Linked DNA regions of Arabidopsis thaliana. The protein of the gene in region 2 interacts with the protein of the main gene of each other region in a pairwise test. Each region holds a gene or a part of one and is shown on either strand. Other genes may lie near its edges.

Region 1 (9,601 bases), 6.3 Mb from region 2:
GCAGCGTTACGCGTTTCTGATGGGTTTGAACAAAGAGTTTGACTATGTGAAAATGAAAGTCATGCACAAGAAGATTCCTCCGTCTGTTTACCAAGCTTATGAGATGGTTGTGTATTCAGAAGCGATGATGAAGTGGAAAATGGGAGGAAGAATTTAGGAATTTGCAGGTCCGTGATTTTAACTTTTTATGCTTTTATAGTGTTTCTTTTTGAAGTGTTTTCGTGTTTTTTGAATCCATATTGGTACATTATCAATGTCATATGGAATTAGATTCGTCAACTGAAATTTTGCATAAGAGCTCTAAATTTGGTTATTTGACTACTGGTTAGTATAACAACTATAGATGATGCACAAAATATTCTCTCAATACATAATTTGATGAGGCAATTACAAAGAAGTAGGATTCATGTTTTACAAACAAAAGACATGTGTGAATTTGTCAGAGCTCCGATGTCCAATATTCTTGATGCTGTCATAACTACGGCTACTGGTATCTCCCTGTGTTGATAATATTCGAACACCGAGCAAGTGTTCAATCTCCCTTGTCTCAGGATACTGATTATGTTTTAATTGTTTTGACTTTCAAGGTCTCTAACTCTGCAGCTACTTCGTTCATCCTTGGCCTTTCCTGTACCCTCAATCGCAAACTTCATATTCTCCTTCTCTTTTTCTCTCTAAATTGGTTTCTCTCATCTCTCCAAAGCATCTGCTTCTTAAATATAAGAAAACACACTCCATTCTTGAGATGTTCTCTTGACTTGGTTCCGTTGACTTGTCCCCACTTTCTCCTACATTAAGGTCCTTAAAGAAAAACACATTACAAAGAGGCAATAGTTTCAACATGTTCGGGTGAGATAGAGACGCAGATATCGTGTATGAGTCATTGAGTCCACATCGGCGACAAAACTCTTTCTCGTCTGCAATTCCATGGAGCCTAACTCTTCTGATGTCTTTTTTCCTACATTGTACTAGAAAATGAAGAAGGGTTGAAGAATGGGTGGGAGAGATTTTGGGGCAAAAATGATTTCACCAGCCTTGTTGGTGCCAGGAGAAGTCATATTGACCAAAGGGAAAGGAAGCTCAAATGTTTGCTTGGACCAACATGTTTCTTGACATTCTCTAGTATCCACAAATCAAAACTAGAGAAGCTTAAAGGGTTTCTAGCAATGGAAGCTAACTTCCCTTTGTATTCTATCAATATTGATTCACACTCCCGAACCAAAACATCCCTAGGCACTTTGATAAAACTTAGCCTCTCATATCTAACATGAAAACACACAATCACCATTCACCGGATCCATTCTTAGTCTAGGGGCCCAAGCACCATAATAGATGGAACCATAGATGCAAAGTCCCTTGGTTACACGGTAATAAGGAGCTTTGGTAAACTGATTACGTGTTTTTGATGTTTCTTGTCCTCCAAAACCAAGATACAGGTCATGTGAAGACACCAGGTTCAACGCTTTGATTAATGACCAACAAGATCATATCCCAATGATGCGCGGGGTCCTTTAATGGGTAAGGTAATCCCTGAAACTTTGGGCTAGGGAGGGGAAATACAAGGCCCATTAAGCCCAACTGTTTACAAAAAATTGCGACTTTTCTTATTTTGGAAAATTATTTCTTTATTTGAGACTAAAAAAGTCAAAATCGAAAGGGATACAAAGCAAGCCCTAGGATTTGGAAGCAGAGAGAGACTCTCAGAGCAGCGACGACAATGGCGGAAACTATCAAGAGCGTATCTCCAACATCAGACCCCGATTCACCGTATTATCTCCCTCCCGATATTCATCATCCCTCCGATTTCTCTATCCAAAAACTCAGCAAAGACGAAGACAACTACGTCGCCTGGAAAATTCGATTTCGCTCTTTCCTCCGAGTCACGAAAAAATTCGGGTTTATCGACGGTACTCTCCCGAAGCCAGACCCTTTCTCTCCGCTCTATCAGCCATGGGAACAATGCAACGCAATGGTTATGTATTGGCTGATGAATTCGATGACCGATAAGCTTCTAGAATCTGTTATGTACGCGGAGACTGCTCATAAAATGTGGGAAGATCTCAGACGTGTATTCGTTCCTTGTGTTGATTTGAAGATTTATCAGCTTCGTCGGAGACTCGCGACGCTCAGGCAAGGTGGTGACTCTGTTGAGGAGTATTTTGGGAAATTGAGTAAAGTTTGGATGGAGTTGTCGGAGTATGCTCCTATACCGGAGTGTAAATGCGGTGGTTGCAATTGCGAGTGTACTAAACGAGCTGAAGAGGCGAGAGAGAAGGAGCAGCGTTACGAGTTTTTGATGGGGTTGAAGTTGAACCAAGGCTTCGAGGCTGTGACGACAAAAATCATGTTCCAGAAACCTCCTCCGTCACTTCACGAAGCTTTCGCTATGGTCAAAGATGCAGAATCGATGATGAAGTGGTACAGTAGATGAAGAATTTAGGAAGCAGGTTTATGATCATAACTTTTCTCTTCTTTGCCTATGTTTTTTTTTGGGATTCTAGTGTTTCTTATTGAGATGTGTTTGAAGCTATATCTGTATATTATCAATCTCATATGGAATTAGATTTTTATGAACTAAAATTTAACACAAGAGTTTTAAATTTGCCAATAACCAGATCGGTTACTGGTTAGTATACCAAGTAAAGGAAAATATGAACATGATTATTGATGATGTACAAACAAATCTGTCAAAGCATTATTGATGAAGCAACAAGGAAATGACTTTCTTTTTTTACAAACAAAAGATATACATGTGATTTTGTCAGAGCATTAATATCAACGGCCAGCTTCAATGTCCAATGTTGTTACATTTCTGATGCTGTCATAGCCAATGCTGCTACTGGTTTCGCCTTGTGCTGACAAGATTTGAACGCCGAGCAAGTGTTCAATCTCCCCTGTCTCACGATACTGATCCGACCACTTATATTTAGTTGTTTTAACTCTCAAGGCCTCTAACTCTGCAGCTACTTCTTTCATCCTTGGCCTTTCCTCTCCCATTAGCCTTGTACACTCTGCAGCAATTCTTGCAGCTTCCTGGATCTCTCTCTGGTTATCCTCATTCATCACTTGCCCATCAATAATTTCATGGAACCTATTATTCTTTGTGGCAGAAGCAAAACAACTCACAAGATTTTTTGGGCAATGTGGTCTTTCGAAACACAATGCCTTTTGACCTGAGAGCAGTTCCATTAGGACGACCCCAAAACTATAAACATCGCTCTTTTCGTTTAACAACCCTGTGTTGTAATATTCTGGGTCTAGGTAACCTAGAGTGCCTTGCACTATTGTTGTGAGCTGCTCTTTATCCATCGGTATCAATCTTGATGCACCAAAGTCAGCTACTTTTGCAGTTAAGTTTTTATCCAGGAGAATATTAGCAGTCTTGATATCTCGGTGGATGATTGGAATAGAAGCAGAAGAGTGAAGATATGCAAGACTTCCTGCTACTTCTGTTGCTATCCTCAGACGGTGCTCCCATGTAAGTGAAGAATCATACAAGGAACCGTGCAAGTGATCGAAAAGGGTACCACTGTTAATGAACTCATAGACCAACAAGGGGACTTCTGTCTCTAAACAACACCCCAAGACCTTGACCACGTTCCTATGGTTGATTTGTGAAAGCACTAGCACTTCGTTGATGAACTGCTCTACTTGGCTACGGTTTCCAAGCCGAGCTTTCTTTATAGCAACTATGGAGTTGTCCGGCAATATCCCTTTGTACACTGTTCCTTGGCCTCCCTGACCCAGGATTCTGCTCTCATGGTAACCATTAGTTGCTTCCTTCATTCCTTTCTCAGTGAAGATTTTGACATCAACATTTGATGGCCCTGCTCCCGAGACTCGCTGTATCAACATGCCTCCACCATTTTGCTCGAAGAATTTTTGTCGGAGCTCTGTGTTCTTCCGGTGCTTAATTTTCTGTTGTAGACAGCTAATCCCAAGCATGATAACCGAGAAGCCGATGGTGGTTCCTGATCACATCACACCTAGGTAATTAGAGCTAGTTTTTTAAAAGGAAAGTATCCGAAACCAGTGAGGGGAACATACCAAGAAAAATTTGAGTCCATCTAAAGTATTCAGGCCTGACTTTACGAGTACAGCTATTAAGGGAATCTTTGCGGTAACCAGATGGGCAGTTACAGTTGAAGCTCCCCTTCGTGTTTTCACAGGTACTATGCTCCGAACAGTTATGTCTACTACTAATACATTCATTGATGTCTGGCCAAGGAAAAAGAGCATGTATGAAGTAAACGATTAAAAGAAGTGATAAAACAGAAAACAAGTTAAAGTACCTTGACAACCGTTTGGAAGGTATGGATTCCCCTCAAAACCTTCTAAACATTTGCAGTTATACCCGGTTCCACCAGTAGAATCGAAACATGTGCTGTTACCACCACACACGCCCCTGTATTCTACTTGTTTGCAAGTCTTGTCTCCGATAGACCAATCTAGTACTACAGGGAACGTAGTAACATTTCGCAGATTGTTGAGATCTTCCAAAGCATGGAAGTCAAACATACCATCTTCAACGAGAAAGGCGTAGGTGCAAGGATTAAACAGATGCACAGTAGGATGGTTGTGAAAGCTATGTGGTTTTACTCTGACAAAAGAGTATCCTCTAGGGACAGGGATCTGGCAGCAACCTTCACCAGAACATGATCCGTTTTTCGTTGTGGCAGAATCACATATTGATATGCATCCAGTTGAGTATTTTTCAACTCCAGATGTGCGGAGAAATGCGTAACTGTTACAACCTACTACAGTAAATCTGTTAAGTTCAGAGAGAGTGAAATTACCCAGGGTGGTCCGCTGGGCAATGTAGTCAGTCTGTTTTCCTTGACTATCGTAGCAAACTCTGGATCTAACTAGCCGAACACGAAGCTGGCCGCTGAGAGACATGTTGATGACTGGCATGTTGCCAAAGAAGAGCTTCTCTTGCTCGTTGCAAGTAAGATTGAAACTTTCATCTCCGGGATAGTAACAACCTGGAGAAGTACCAAAAGGGTACTCAACTGCGACATTGCCACATCTAGTTTGGCACTCCTTGCGAGGTTGCCCCTTGACTAGCTGCGTATAAGCAAGGTAGAAAACAGCCACCACGAACAAACCCTCCTGTACCTTCATCTTCTCTCTTTCTTTCTCTCTCACTCTTTTAACTTTGTTCCTGTTTTGAGTTTTCGCTAATCTCCTTTTTCTTATTAGAAACAACTGTATATGAAATGTTCTCTTCACTCATTTTCGCAGGCCCGCTCCCATTTTGTCATATAATGCAAGAAGACGAAAATTCAACTACACAACCAATGTAACCCATGAGGCGTGAAGAGGACGTTTGCTGCATATTCCTGTATAGTATTTAAACAGTGACAACTATAGGTCTTGGTCTTCTCGTCATTCTTGATATTTTTTTCGTTAGTGGGGAAACCGATTTAATTTTGTTAACAGTGACACTTATTTTCTTACTATTCAAAGATTAAGACAGTTGCAACTTGCAAGGAATCTTCAATTATGAAGACCCTCTTAAGTCAACTTCAGTCTCGGTCCTCTCTTCTTTTCTCGATATTACAAGGCAAATTTACTCTTTTTCTTAACAGTTAATTTCACGCTCAAAATATGAAAATTGCCTTTTAAAATGACGATATAGGAATTGAGACTCCTGAATCCTGATCACAACATGCTCTGTTTTCTTATGATGCTTTTATTACGACTTGTTTTTTTCCCCACATTTAGACATTTTGAGTCATAAAGCATTATGCCACCAAGATCAGACCCTCTTGCAACTTCATCTTCTCCTTCTCTCTTTGTCTCACTAAATTTGTTTCTCTTTGAGTTTTCTCTCATCTCTCCGTAGCATCTGCTTCTTAAAGCTAAGAAAACACACTCCATTCTTGATATGTTCTCTTGACTTGCTTCCGTTGACTAGTCCCCATTTTCCCAATAATTGCAGGAATCTGCAATAGTAAATATTATTTTACAGAGCCGGACCAATGAAATTCGGGCCATTTAAATTACGAAAACAAAGTACTTTTGTCTTTAAAACTATAGAGTAAATAGAAACCAATTTAAACAAAACTCTGAATTATTTATTTAATTGTATGTTAGATTTATAAATATTTTGGATCACACTATTATTTAAGATTAATATGTATAAAACTAACTATTTCTCCTATTAAAAATCAATATATATATATATGTATATTTAATTACAATAAAATTTCTGTGGGACCCTTTTAAAATGGGAGCCCCATTAGAATGTTTCATCTTCATGTGCTATGGTCCGCTCCAATATCCTTCTCTTACTTTTCTTGATTTCCAGGCAAATTATGTAGACCACCTTCACCTAACCCTTCTCTTCCCTGCTTTTTTATTTCCACTGTCTTTTAGAATTAGACCTATTGGTAGTTAAGACAAATGATAGTTAAGATTAGGTTTTCCAAAACTTCCACAATGGCTTAATCCTCATAGATAAACGAGCTTCTCGATGATTATCTGCAGCATACAGTTCAATGAAATCTTGTGCATATAATACCTTCTGAGCAAAAACAAACAAAACACTCAAAATATGAACAACAATAAAAAGAAATAACACATGTCAGAAAATGCAAATCATCAATGGTAAGATAAAAAACTAGTTTGCTTGATGTTGAAAAGCCAACGCTTATATATTGATTCAAAGAAGAAAAAAACAGAGTCTGTCAAGCTCTTACACATTAAGGTCCTTGAAGAAAAACAAGGTTCGGGTGAGATAGAGACGCACATATCGTGTATGAGTCCATTATGAAGAAGGAAAGTTGAAGAATGGGTGGTATACATTTTGGGGGAAATGATTTCACCAACCTTGTTGGTGCCAGGGAACTCATATCAACCAAAGGGAAGGGAAGATCAACTGTTTGCTTGGACCAATCATGTTTATTGACATCCTCTCTAGTATCCACAAATCAAAACGTTGGAAAGAAGCATATGCGTTTCTTGCAATCGACGCTAGCTTCCCTAGGGGCTTTGTTGGGCTCCGGAGGGAAACTCAAGGCCCATTAAGCCCAACTCTTTATCTTTTTTTTTTTTTTTTTTTCTCTTTCTCATTTTGAAAATGATTTGTTTAATGTTAGTCAAAATCGAAAGGGATAAAAAAGGGCAAGCCCTAGAGTTTTAGAAGCAGAGCTCAGTGACGACAATGGCGGAAACTATCAAGAGCGTATCTCCATTATCCGACCCCGATTCACCGTATTATCTCCCTCCAGATATTAATCAACCCTCCGATTTCTCTATCGAAAAACTCAGCGAAGCCGAAGACAACTACGTCATCTGGAAATTTCGATTTCGCTCTTTTCTCGAACTCACGAACAAAATCGGTTTCATTGACAGTACTCTCCCGCAGCCAGAACCTTCCTCGCCGCTCTATCATCCATGGAAACGATGCGACACAATAGTTAAGTATTGGCTGATGAATTTGATGAGCGAAGAGCTTGTAAAGTCTGTGATGTACGCGAAGACTGCTCATCAAGCGTGGGAAAATCTCAGACTTAGATTCGTTCCTTGCGTCGATTTGAAGATCTACCAGCTTCGTCGGAGGCTCGCGACGTTGAGGCAAGGTGGTGATTCTGTTGAGGAGTATTTTGGGAAACTGAGTAAAGTTTGGATGGAGTTGTCGGAGTATGCTCCTGTACCTGAGTGTAAGTGCGGTGGTTGCAATTGCGAGAGTACGAAACTAGCTAAAGAAGCGAGAGAGAAGGAGCAGCGTTACGAGTTTTTGATGGGGTTGAACAAAGAGTTTGAGGTTGTGAGGATAACAATCATGCTCAAGAAACCTCCTCCGCCACTTTACGAAGCTTACAATATGGTTAAAGGAGCAGAATTGACGATGAAGAGATACAGGAGATGAAGAATTTAGGAACCAGGTTCATGATCATAACTTTCTCTATATGTTATGCATTTCTTTTTGTAAAGATTCTAGTGTTTCTTATCTAGTTGTTTTTGATAACATCAATGTCATATGGAATAAGATTTATGAACTGATATTGGTAATCTGCTATTTTGCAAAAGAGTTTCTAAGTTTGCCTATAACCAGATTGGCTACTGGTTAGTATACCAATGGGAATTACAAACATGGTTATTGATGATTTATAAAAATTCTTTCAAATCATTATTAATGAAGCAAAGCATTATTGATGAAGCAACAAAGAGGTAGTTTTTTTTTTCTTACAAACAAAAGAAATACATGTGAATTTGTAATATCAGCGGCCAGTTTCAATGTCCAATATTGCTACATTCTTGATGCTGTCATAGCCAATGCTGCTACTGGTTTCGCCTTGTGCTGACAAGATGTGACCACCAATCAAGTGTTCATTCTCCTCAGGGTACTGATCCGACCACTTATGTTTGGTTTTTTCGACCCTCAAGGCTTCTAGCTTTGCAGCTACTTCTTTCATCCTTGGCCTTTCCTCTCCCATTAGCCTTGTACACTCTGCAGCAATTCTTGCAGCTTCCTGGATCTCCTTCAGATTATCCTCGTTCATCACTTCGCCGCCAATAATCTCATCCAACCTATTCTCTTTTGTGGCAGTCGCAAAGTAACTCACCAGATGTTTTGAGGACTGTGGCCGTTTAAAGCACAATGCCTTTTGACCTGAGAGCAGTTCCATTAGGACGACCCCAAAACTATAAACATCGCTCTTTTCGTTTAACAACCCTGTGTTGTAATATTCTGGGTCTAGGTAACCTAGAGTGCCTTGCACCATAGTTTCGAGCTCTTCTTTATCCATTGGTATCAGCCTTGAAGCACCAAAGTCAGCTACTTTTGCAGTTAAGTTTACATCCAGAAGAATATTTGCAGTTTTGATATCCCGATGGATGATTGGAATAGAAGCAGAGGAGTGAAGATATGCAAGAGTTCCAGCGACTTCTATTGCTATCTTCAGACGGTGTTCCCATGTAAGCGAAGAATCAATCATGGAACCATGCAAGTGATCGAAAAGGGTGCCATTGGTGATGAACTCATAGACCAACAAGGGAACTTCAGTCTCTAGACAGCAGCCCAAGAGCTTGACTACGTTCCTATGGTTGATTTGTGAAAGCACGAGCACTTCATTGATGAACTGCTCTACTTGGCTACTGTCTCCAAGTCGGGCTTTCTTTATAGCAACTATGGAGTTGTCCGGCAATATCCCTTTGTACACTGTTCCTTGGCCACCCTGACCCAGGATCCTGCTCTCAGCATAACCATTTGTTGCTTTCTTCATGCCATCCTCAGTAAAGATTTTGACATCAACATTTGACGGCCCTGCTCCTGAGAGTCGTTGTGTCAACATGCCGCCACCATTTTGCTCGAAGAATTGTTCTCGGAGCTTGGTGTCCTTCAGGTGCTTCATTCTCTGTTGTATACAGGCAACGCCAAGCAGAATGACCAAGAAGCCGATGGTGGTTACTGATCACACACATCGTAGATTCAGAGAGATGATTATAATAAGTTGATCTGGGAAACATCAAGTCGAGAAATAGTGAGGGAAACTTACCAAGAAGAATTGTAGTCCATGCAAACTCTTTACGCTTGCAGCTCATAGTGGTGGTATCTAAGCGGTAACCAGATTGACACTTACAATAGAAGCCT
Region 2 (9,076 bases):
TAAGACTGAAAAAATCACCTGAAAACTTTGATTTCTTGAGATCTTGACTCAACACAGATATAGTAAACTGAGCGAACTGACTCCAGCCTGCCTCCAAGATAGCAAAAGAACCTACATGACTAGGTATCCAGAGAGAGAAAAGGGACCATGCAGACAAGTGGACAATAATACTAACCTGGAAGAAGTTTATCATAATTTGCAACACAGAGAAACAAGGAGAGATGATTACAAACATCACATCCTTGTGGATAAATTAAAATATACCTGACACATTGAAGACAAATAGAACAACACAGAGCCTCAACAATCACATCCCGAGATTTTATTGTGACACAAGATATAAGGATGAGAAAGATAAACAGATGCCATGTACCATTTGTAACCGCCAGCTTCAAAAACATTGCTACGATGCTCCCTTTTAGTGATTTCTGAAAATTTCGGAATCTTCCAAGTATACTGTCCATATAACTCAGAGGGTTTCAGGCCTGAAGAAGATAATAAAGTTCACATTACACAGCTGAAACATTCATCAAGAGTACAATAAAGTAAACCAAACAAAGAAGGAGAAATACTACATAGTAGGATGCTATACAAAACTGAACTCCTTAACACAAACAGATAAAGATCTCTAGCACATGACTAGAATATTTCCACCCCAACAATTATTTTAGATGCATGCATTCTTTTCAACATCGGATACTAAGGCAAAGAGAAATCTCTGCCTTGCAACATTAAGATGAAAATAAGTATGTTAACATCAAGAAATTTGCACTTGTACAAAGTATAAAGAAACTCAGTTTGAAATTAGCCACATCCAAGTTTTACTCACTGGGAAACCAAACAGTGAAAAGACCTACCATAATCATCATCGTCATCGATATCCCAGTAAGAGGGGGATGTGGATGGAGTCCCGTTCTCCACTTGACCAGAAGAGCGCCACTCTGAGAGTGCTTCTCCTGCTTGACTGTGTTGTCCATTTGAACTCTCCTCTAGAGATCGTCCAACCCCAGAATCTTCATCAACAGCCTCTGCCATTCCCCAGTATGAAATTGTTTCGTCAAAGCTCTCTCTCTCCTTCAACTATCAGCAATTAACGATTGGAGCAAATAAATTAGATTTTGAATTCTGTAATCCCCACAATTATGTATACCCAGAAAACAATATGCCAAGTCATGATTTGAAATGGACAAAGATATTCAACGATCTGGCTCTCTCAAACTATACCAATCCGCAATCATTTCTAGATTTTATCCGTGAGTATAACGAATTCATGGCTAAAAAATCGAAACCCTTTAAAACCCACATCAGATAATCGATGGGCAATAAACCCTAATTTCCAATTTTCAAAATTAGATTGGTAAAATTACAAACAAACAAAAAAAAATCAGCCGAAAAATTAGAGGGCGGCGAAGCAATATATCATTTCAATCAGCTAAAATATCCAGAGAAACCTCATAATTTCATCAAAGACATCGGAAAACAAAACAAAGCCCAGATGAAATCAACGATCGGGGAAAATCAAAATCGGTGTGGTATCAAAATGAAAGACTGTAATCGGAACATAAAGCCTCGCAAAATCCGAAGAACAAAGGAGGAGATATAGAAGAAGCTTATTGGTTGTAGATCGAAGCGAACCTGAGATGGTGGAAGAAAGAGCAAAGAGAAGCTAATTCGTTGAATGGGCTAATGGCAGCTCCTATGAGATTCTACAGAGAGAGAACAAACCAAAAAAGACGACGGAGGAAAAGAAAGAGAGATAAATAGAGAGAAAGAGAGGTCGCACGAATCACCTCAATGTTAAAAAAAAAAAATCACATAAACCTTTTAAAAACAAAAGTTAATTAAAAGGTCGAAGTTAATATGTACCTGGATACATATTGTGGATACAAGTTGTATACGGTTTCTGGATCAGAAATCAATAAATTTATAAGCTTCATCTAAAACGTCACAATATTTGACAAAGGAGTTGGTAGGCTTGTAAATCACAAATCCGTAAGGAACATCCTCCGACACATTTTTTTACTTTGAATTCTGTTATCACCAGCAAGTTACAACAAGTCTGCATCATACCTTTTGCCTACACGATAGGTTAAAACCTAGTTAACTTTCAGGTTTTTACAACCGAACGACAACGTTTTAGTACTCTCTCTGTTAATCTCATTAAAGCCCCTACTGTTTTTACAAATTCTCAGATTCCACCCCTTAAATCTTTCTTTTGCACTACATTCCCCTCCCCCCCTTCCTGACGTCAATGATCAGTGGCTAGTAGACGGAGGAGTTGAGGTTCTAAACGTTTCTCCAGAATATCCACCGCCTCTCGACATCATCGATCGCCGGAGTTGAAACCGGAAAACAACTGAGACGCTTTTCACCAAACCTAGACCGTCCTCAACAACCCGAATATTCCCTTGCATATACTGTCACAAAACAAGATAAAAGTGTTAAACCAAGTCATTAGCACATTTACATACAAAACACAAATGACCAACCTTTACAATGTTTTGGCAAGCGTTGAGACTCGGATTCTCTTCCTCCTCCTCCAGGTTACTACCACTACTACTACTACTACTCTCTTCACCTTCAGCAGTTACCTCGAATCCGAATCTAACTTCCATGTATTCTTTCGAATAGCAATGTCGCCAAACCGCTTCTTGAATATCTTTCCTCTCTGATACGTCTGAGTTCCCGCTTTCCGGAAAAACCCAGAAAGTCACATTCCCTTTGATCTTTCGATTCATTAGAACCCCAAGCATATGCAAAATCGCTTGAAAGACCTTTCTATCATCACCTACGACGTAGTCAGGCAATGCTCTATAAACTTCAGCTGAGAAACCAAAACCATTTGCCATGCATAAACACCTCGCCACGCAAGCTGACTCTTTCACAACCGAATGCAAACTGAAATAATGAGTCTCTGCAGCGCGGATTGTCCCATTGTTTATATCTCCGGCATTGTTTACAAGCTGTACAAGTAACTCGCTGGTTCTCCTCATTGCATCAACGATAACAGTCTGGTTCTCGGGTAACTTCCCATCCTGAAGTATCAAAGGAAGCAACCCGAGAATGGACCGCACAGGACACCTCATTGCATCGCTCATCATCTGCTCGAACGCAGCCTTGGCTTGATTAGCTCTCAGTGCGTTCTCCCTCGCAACCTGAAGCGCTCGGTTCTGTTCAGCGAGTTTCTCTCTCATAAGCTGAGATTCTTCAAGAATCACGGCGTGAGAGATTGCAACCGCCACTTGATCAGCCACCACCTTAACAATCTCAAGCTCTTGATAAGTCCAAGCCTGCGGCTGTCTCAATGGAAGCACACACACCAATATCGCATAACACATGTGAATCGCCTCTGGTGTCCCGCCTTTAAAGTTACAAACCCGAAGCATAGGGACTCTTATCCCAACCGTAGGACCTGACTTCCCTCGGCTAGTCACTGAGGCAAGCACAGAACCAGGGCTCAACATATTCACCTCTTCGCTTCTCTTAATCCTCACAACATCAGACTCACTAATCGGTATCGAGAACCCAGCATAACCACCAAAATGCTCATTCTCATTCTCATCATCAATCCTCGGTCTTAACTCATGAGTAAGATTCATCTCCGTCTTGATCTCATTCGGGATCCAAACCGCACAGTTCTTGAGCCCCAGAGTCTTGGACAACTCCACAAGCGTAGTGTATAGAATGGTGTGTCGATCAAGAGACGTCCTAATCTTGGTAGTGAGCATACGAACATGCAAACTCGTCTCAGTCTGCTTCATAATGATCCCAACCTCACGATCAAGCTCTCTGGTCTTCTTACTCAACATAAACTCACGAACCTTAGCCTTAAGAAGCAATGGTAAGAGAGTGACTAACGAGAGTGCCGTGAGGAAAGAGACGATACCAGTCAGCATCTTGAAGACAGTGACAGCTGTCATGACCCAAGGCCAGTGAGGCCCGTAGGTGAAACCAGCGAGCAAATGGGTCATGCCGCAGAGAACAATGAAGGCTATAAACTCGCAGACCACCCAATTGTAAGGTGAAGGCACATTGGTGCGGCTCACGAAGTAAACCAGCTCGATTGGGATCGAGAAATAAGCGATTGCGATAAGAAAGTCGCCGACTTTTTGCGAGTTGAGGATTGTCTCGTAGCTAAAGAGACTGTCTTCGTCGTCGCAGTTGCATAACGACAAGCTACCGTCGTCTTCTGCGGCGGTGACGACGGAACCGATTAAGAAGAAGAAGAAGAAGACAAGCCATTGGACTAACAATGTCTTTAACATCGATTACTGTTTCCCTGAGTAAGAATTAATTAAAAAGGTGAGATTTTTATTCATACCCAGAACTCAAAATCGAGATTTTTCAATTCAATATGCGTAACGTTTGGATTTTGTATACCCAGAATTGTGCAATTACCTATGAACATAGTGAAAATCAAAATCAGAAAAAGATTCAAAATTCAAAACTTGTTCAAGGAGAGAGTAAAGTTAATGTCTTTTAGATTATAAATCTTTTTCACAACAAGGACCGAATTTGTAAATTAATTTTCTTTTAATCCCCTAAATGTATGAAGTTATGAACCACCCACAAGAACAAACATCAAAATCTACCGATTCCTCACAAAATCCGCAGAAAATTCAAAATCAGATGAGAAATAGCGAAAAGGAACATCAAACCCATCTCACATTTGAGAAATCATATACCTGCAACGTAGTGATCAGCCAAAAATCTCTTTTCCAGAAAACGTAAAAGCTGTAGAAGAAGAAGAAGAAGAAGTCTAAACGATTGTTGAATCTTACGAAACTCACCAGAATGTGTAGAGAGAGAGACAAGTTAGGGAAGTAAATATGTGTGTGAGCAGAGTCTCTCGCTCTCTCTTTTTCTGTGTCTGCTGCGATAGAGAGAGTAGATTTACGTTTTGGTGAGAGAGAGAGAGAGAGAGAGAGAGAGAGGGAGGAATTGGGGGGAGAGTGAAGAAGGAAAGGGGGGTGGGACCCAGAAACGGTACATGAAGAGAACATAGACGCTTTTCGTTTGGAACACAACACGAGCACGACATCTTCTTCTTCTTCTTCTTGACCTACGTGGACTCTTACCAAATTCAATTTTAGAGGATTCTTCTTCTTTTTTTAATCTTTCCTTTTCAGCTTTATTAATTAATGACTCTATTTTCAAGATTTATGACTCTTAATACCTATCCCAAATTTTATTCTGCTTTTGGATTACAATAAACAACCTATAATAATATATATATATATTTATATTTCTATTATTTTATGTATAAAAATAAATCTATTCTTTTTAATGTTTAAAAATTAGTTAATTATATTAAATAAATGTTTTATTTCTATTATGGATGATTACATTGGTTTTTTAGAAAGTGAGATTACATGACCAAATAGTAGTATAAGTTTACATTAAAACCAAAAAATTGCATTAAACAATGATAACTACTAGACTATGCAAGTATGAAGTCTACTCACTAAATATCTAAGTTAAAAATAGTATTGACTTAAACGGCACAATTTGCGGCTGATTTGATAACATAATGAGTTAGTTTATTCGACTGACTTAAGATATTTGGTAGATAATTAAATATGCAATGCTATTTTTCGTTTGTAAAACGTTATATTGACCTACCTTGCTACTTATTAGACATGATTTAGTTAAACACTCCATCTTTGTTTTTCTACTCAATAATAACAATACCGAATCAAATTTCTTTGTGGGTCTACCGCCACTTAACTCTTATCAGAAAATGGAGTCTTAACTAAGTGCATGATCATCTCTTTGGATCCCAATATCACTAAATTATCGATCGTACTACTAATTTTTCTTGGCAATTTTATCATTTTATTGGTAATATTTCCCTTTCAAGAAATCAATATGATCAACCACTAACTTTTCTTTGTAAACCGCAAATTTAGAAAAATATATACACATGAAAATCCGTATATTTTGATTGCCCTATTGAAATTTAGTACAAGTAATATATAAACTAGCTACATAACCTCGACAATAACGAACACTTATCAGATTTAGAAGACAAAACTAACAGCAATCTTGCTATATCGGTTTGAATTTTATGTTTTTGTTTATTAATATGAATTTGATCTTAGTGGATGCACTAGGAACATTTTATGGTCAAGGTTTTATACCAATATAAATCTTTTAAATAAATAACCAGTGGTCTAGTGGTAGAATAGTACCCTGCCACGGTACAGACCCGGGTTCGATTCCCGGCTGGTGCAGATTGTATTTTTTTCCTGTTATACAGGTTTTTTCGCTTTTTTCTTTTTCTTTTTTTCTGAATCCAATGCTATTATTGGCCACGTGTCGAGCGATGAACACGTGCTGATTCCTTTCCTTTTCTGTCTACATTCTCGTCACTATTACAAAACAAATGTCTTCTCCTTTTAAAGAAATCACTGGTAAGAATGCATGCATCATAAAACTTTTATCAAAGAAATAGAAATAGTGCATGCACCTTTGCCACTTAAGCCAATATATATGCAAATCAAAACAGATGTACACAGAATCATTTTTACTTTTTTTGCATGAGACCACATACATATACAGTATAATCTTTTGTCTGTAAAGGCAATCCAGTACAAGACTAGCTAATGTTTGATAGACGTTTCATTTATACAGCAAGAGCGGGACTGATTGTTTATATACGGAAATTCATCAAATATTCAAATTGATTTAAAAAAATGGTGATTTGAATTACTTTTATAGTCAGATGATTTGATCAATACATTTACATCTTCTTTCCGGTGACATTATAAAAACGTTTAATACTTCTTTTAAAATTTAGTATTTTTCATGTATATAAAACATGTATCCTTGATCTTTCATTCCTTCTCTCGTTTTTTGGGACCAACTTTCTGTTTAGGTACGTCTTCCTTAGAATATACGAGATTCTCTTGAGTCTTGAATATGAACTGTTATCGAGAGTACGTTTCAGCAAATCTCCATTTGTTTCCCACTAATTAATAACGAAATCAAACTTTCACCTATCTGTGGATCAGACGACAGCTTTAAAAATTCACTGTCTTGTTTATTCTTCGACCCTTGGCTGTTAATGTATAGTAGCTTTTTAATCGGTTTAATCAAATGTTTGAACACTAAACAGCCCAACAACTTAAAGCCTTAGTAAACCGGATGATGTTATACTATACCAAGATAAACCGAACTCACACTCGCAAAACAACTACTACACCAACTTATCTTGTAAAACATTTAATGTGATAATTTTGCAAAACTAAGTAAGAGAAAGATTTCAAAACAAAACATGTTTTCTATATATACTTGTTTTACTTAGTTACCAAAAAATATATTTTTACGTTTTCTTTTGTCGCCCAATGGATGCTATTATAGCATCTACATATACATTTTTGCAGCCATTTTGTGAAATAAATCTTGGAGTTGAGACTTATTTACAATGGCTGCCACTCGCATTTATTATTTAGTTTTACAAAATTTTAAAAGATATTAATCAAACGATATCTTGTTTAATTTCTTTCTAAAAATCTGTACACAATCTTTTCATATATCTTCAAAAACAAAATTCCGTGAATTTTACTCCAGAAATATGCATAAATTCGATTTATAGCAAATATTTATATTAACATTTTGCATAACAATAAAAATACTAATTTATAATAATGAAAATATTCACATAAAAAATCATATACACATACAGAAAAAGAATTATATATATCATCATTTAAGCCGTTGCTTTATTTAAATAAAAAAAAATACAAAAAATTGAAATCATATACTTTCTATGATAAATTTAAAATCTATATTAGTAGTAGAAATTTAAAATCATTCAAGAAACGGTATAACACGGGTGAGATCCTAAAATTATTGTATTTATAACAAAAATAATTTATTTTCTTGGATTTTATAATACTAATATTTAGCTAACGAGATAATATAGACGAGTTTATATGGGATGACGGGTTTTGATCGATATCAATAAAGAAAGGTATATCACGGATGAATTCTTAAAATTTACAATTAAAATACAATTATACAACCGTAAACACAAAAAACCATATAATATTAACAAAACGAATATAACTTGAAACTTAAAAAATTTAGCTATAAAAAATCGACCCACGGTATACTGCAGATAAAATATTCAAAATTTTAAAATCCACCATACATCATTACTTAAAAAAATATGTGTTTTCATATCAATACTTCAAAAATTGAAACCTAAACAATAGTAATCATATACTAAATAATACAGAGATTGATATCTACATTGAAAAATACAAATTAATATGATATATTTTCAGTTAATCTTTAAAAAAGTAACATTATATTTTTGTAAACAATATAGCCCCGCGGTGTACCGCGGGTTAAATTCTAGTTGCTATATATAGATTTAGCAATCGATTTTCTAATTTTTTTTGTCACCTATACAAAGACATATTGATATGAACGCATGTACAATTCTTTAAGAAAAATATTTATAAAAGAAATCAAATTACACGGCGATCTTAGCTAGTGTCTTCAACATTACACAGTATACGAAACAATACACTATATATATTAGTTATTAATTAATGGTTACAAGGACATAACAACATCAAACCCAACATACATACTGCATAAAGATGGTAATGTTAAAAAAAATAAAATATGCTATTTGTCAATATGATCGGCATACAATTAAAAAGATTCAAATATTTATGTATTTGTGTGATAGACCTAATATTAAGAGACCGTTAATTTGGCCATGCAAACGGCTGATTCGATGACGGTGCTGGCTGGTAGTAAAACGGAGCTGCCGGATGCTGCCACTTCTTAAAAACCGGCGGCTTCTCCGCCTCTTTACCCCACCGTTGCTCCTCCCTCTTCATTACCGCCGGTGGTTTTTGTGGTGGCGACTCCGTAGGTGATAGAAGAGGAATAGCCACTTTCCAATTCGCTTCGCAAGGGTTTATCTTAAGAGGCGGTGGAGCCCGCCGCTGCAGCCTACTCGACTTTCGGTTCCCGCTGCCAGAAATATTTCTCGCCGTGGACGACATAGCAGGATCTTGTTGTATTAATTTTTTGTTTATATTTATGAGTGAGCTAG

The links. The genes of interacting proteins can lie anywhere in the genome.
Region 1: the proteins of ERS2 (region 2) and WAK2 interact in a protein complementation assay, tested with the Arabidopsis thaliana proteins (one large-scale study listed by BioGRID).

What each region holds. Positions count from the first base shown.
Region 1 is NC_003070.9:7,440,520-7,450,120, reverse strand, and holds WAK2 (wall-associated kinase 2), read right to left. Parts: upstream 5,373-9,601; 5' UTR 5,125-5,372; coding exon 4,293-5,124; intron 4,219-4,292; coding exon 4,048-4,218; intron 3,972-4,047; coding exon 2,776-3,971; 3' UTR 2,432-2,775; coding exon of another isoform or gene 1,718-2,431; 3' UTR 1,638-1,717; downstream 1-1,637. Other genes in the region: AT1G21280 (Copia-like polyprotein/retrotransposon), read left to right, coding at 1,718-2,431; WAK1 (cell wall-associated kinase), read right to left, coding at 8,229-9,418, 9,507-9,601. UniProt on the Arabidopsis thaliana protein: Serine/threonine-protein kinase that may function as a signaling receptor of extracellular matrix component. Binding to pectin may have significance in the control of cell expansion, morphogenesis and development.
Region 2 is NC_003070.9:1,152,861-1,161,936, forward strand, and holds ERS2 (ethylene response sensor 2), read right to left. Parts: upstream 4,954-9,076; 5' UTR 4,686-4,953; intron 4,280-4,685; 5' UTR 4,266-4,279; coding exon 2,490-4,265; intron 2,418-2,489; coding exon 2,256-2,417; 3' UTR 1,904-2,255; downstream 1-1,903. Other genes in the region: AT1G04300 (TRAF-like superfamily protein), read right to left, coding at 19-111, 176-264, 374-485, 858-1,035; AT1G04330 (uncharacterized protein), read right to left, coding at 8,724-9,026. UniProt on the Arabidopsis thaliana protein: Ethylene receptor related to bacterial two-component regulators. Acts as a redundant negative regulator of ethylene signaling.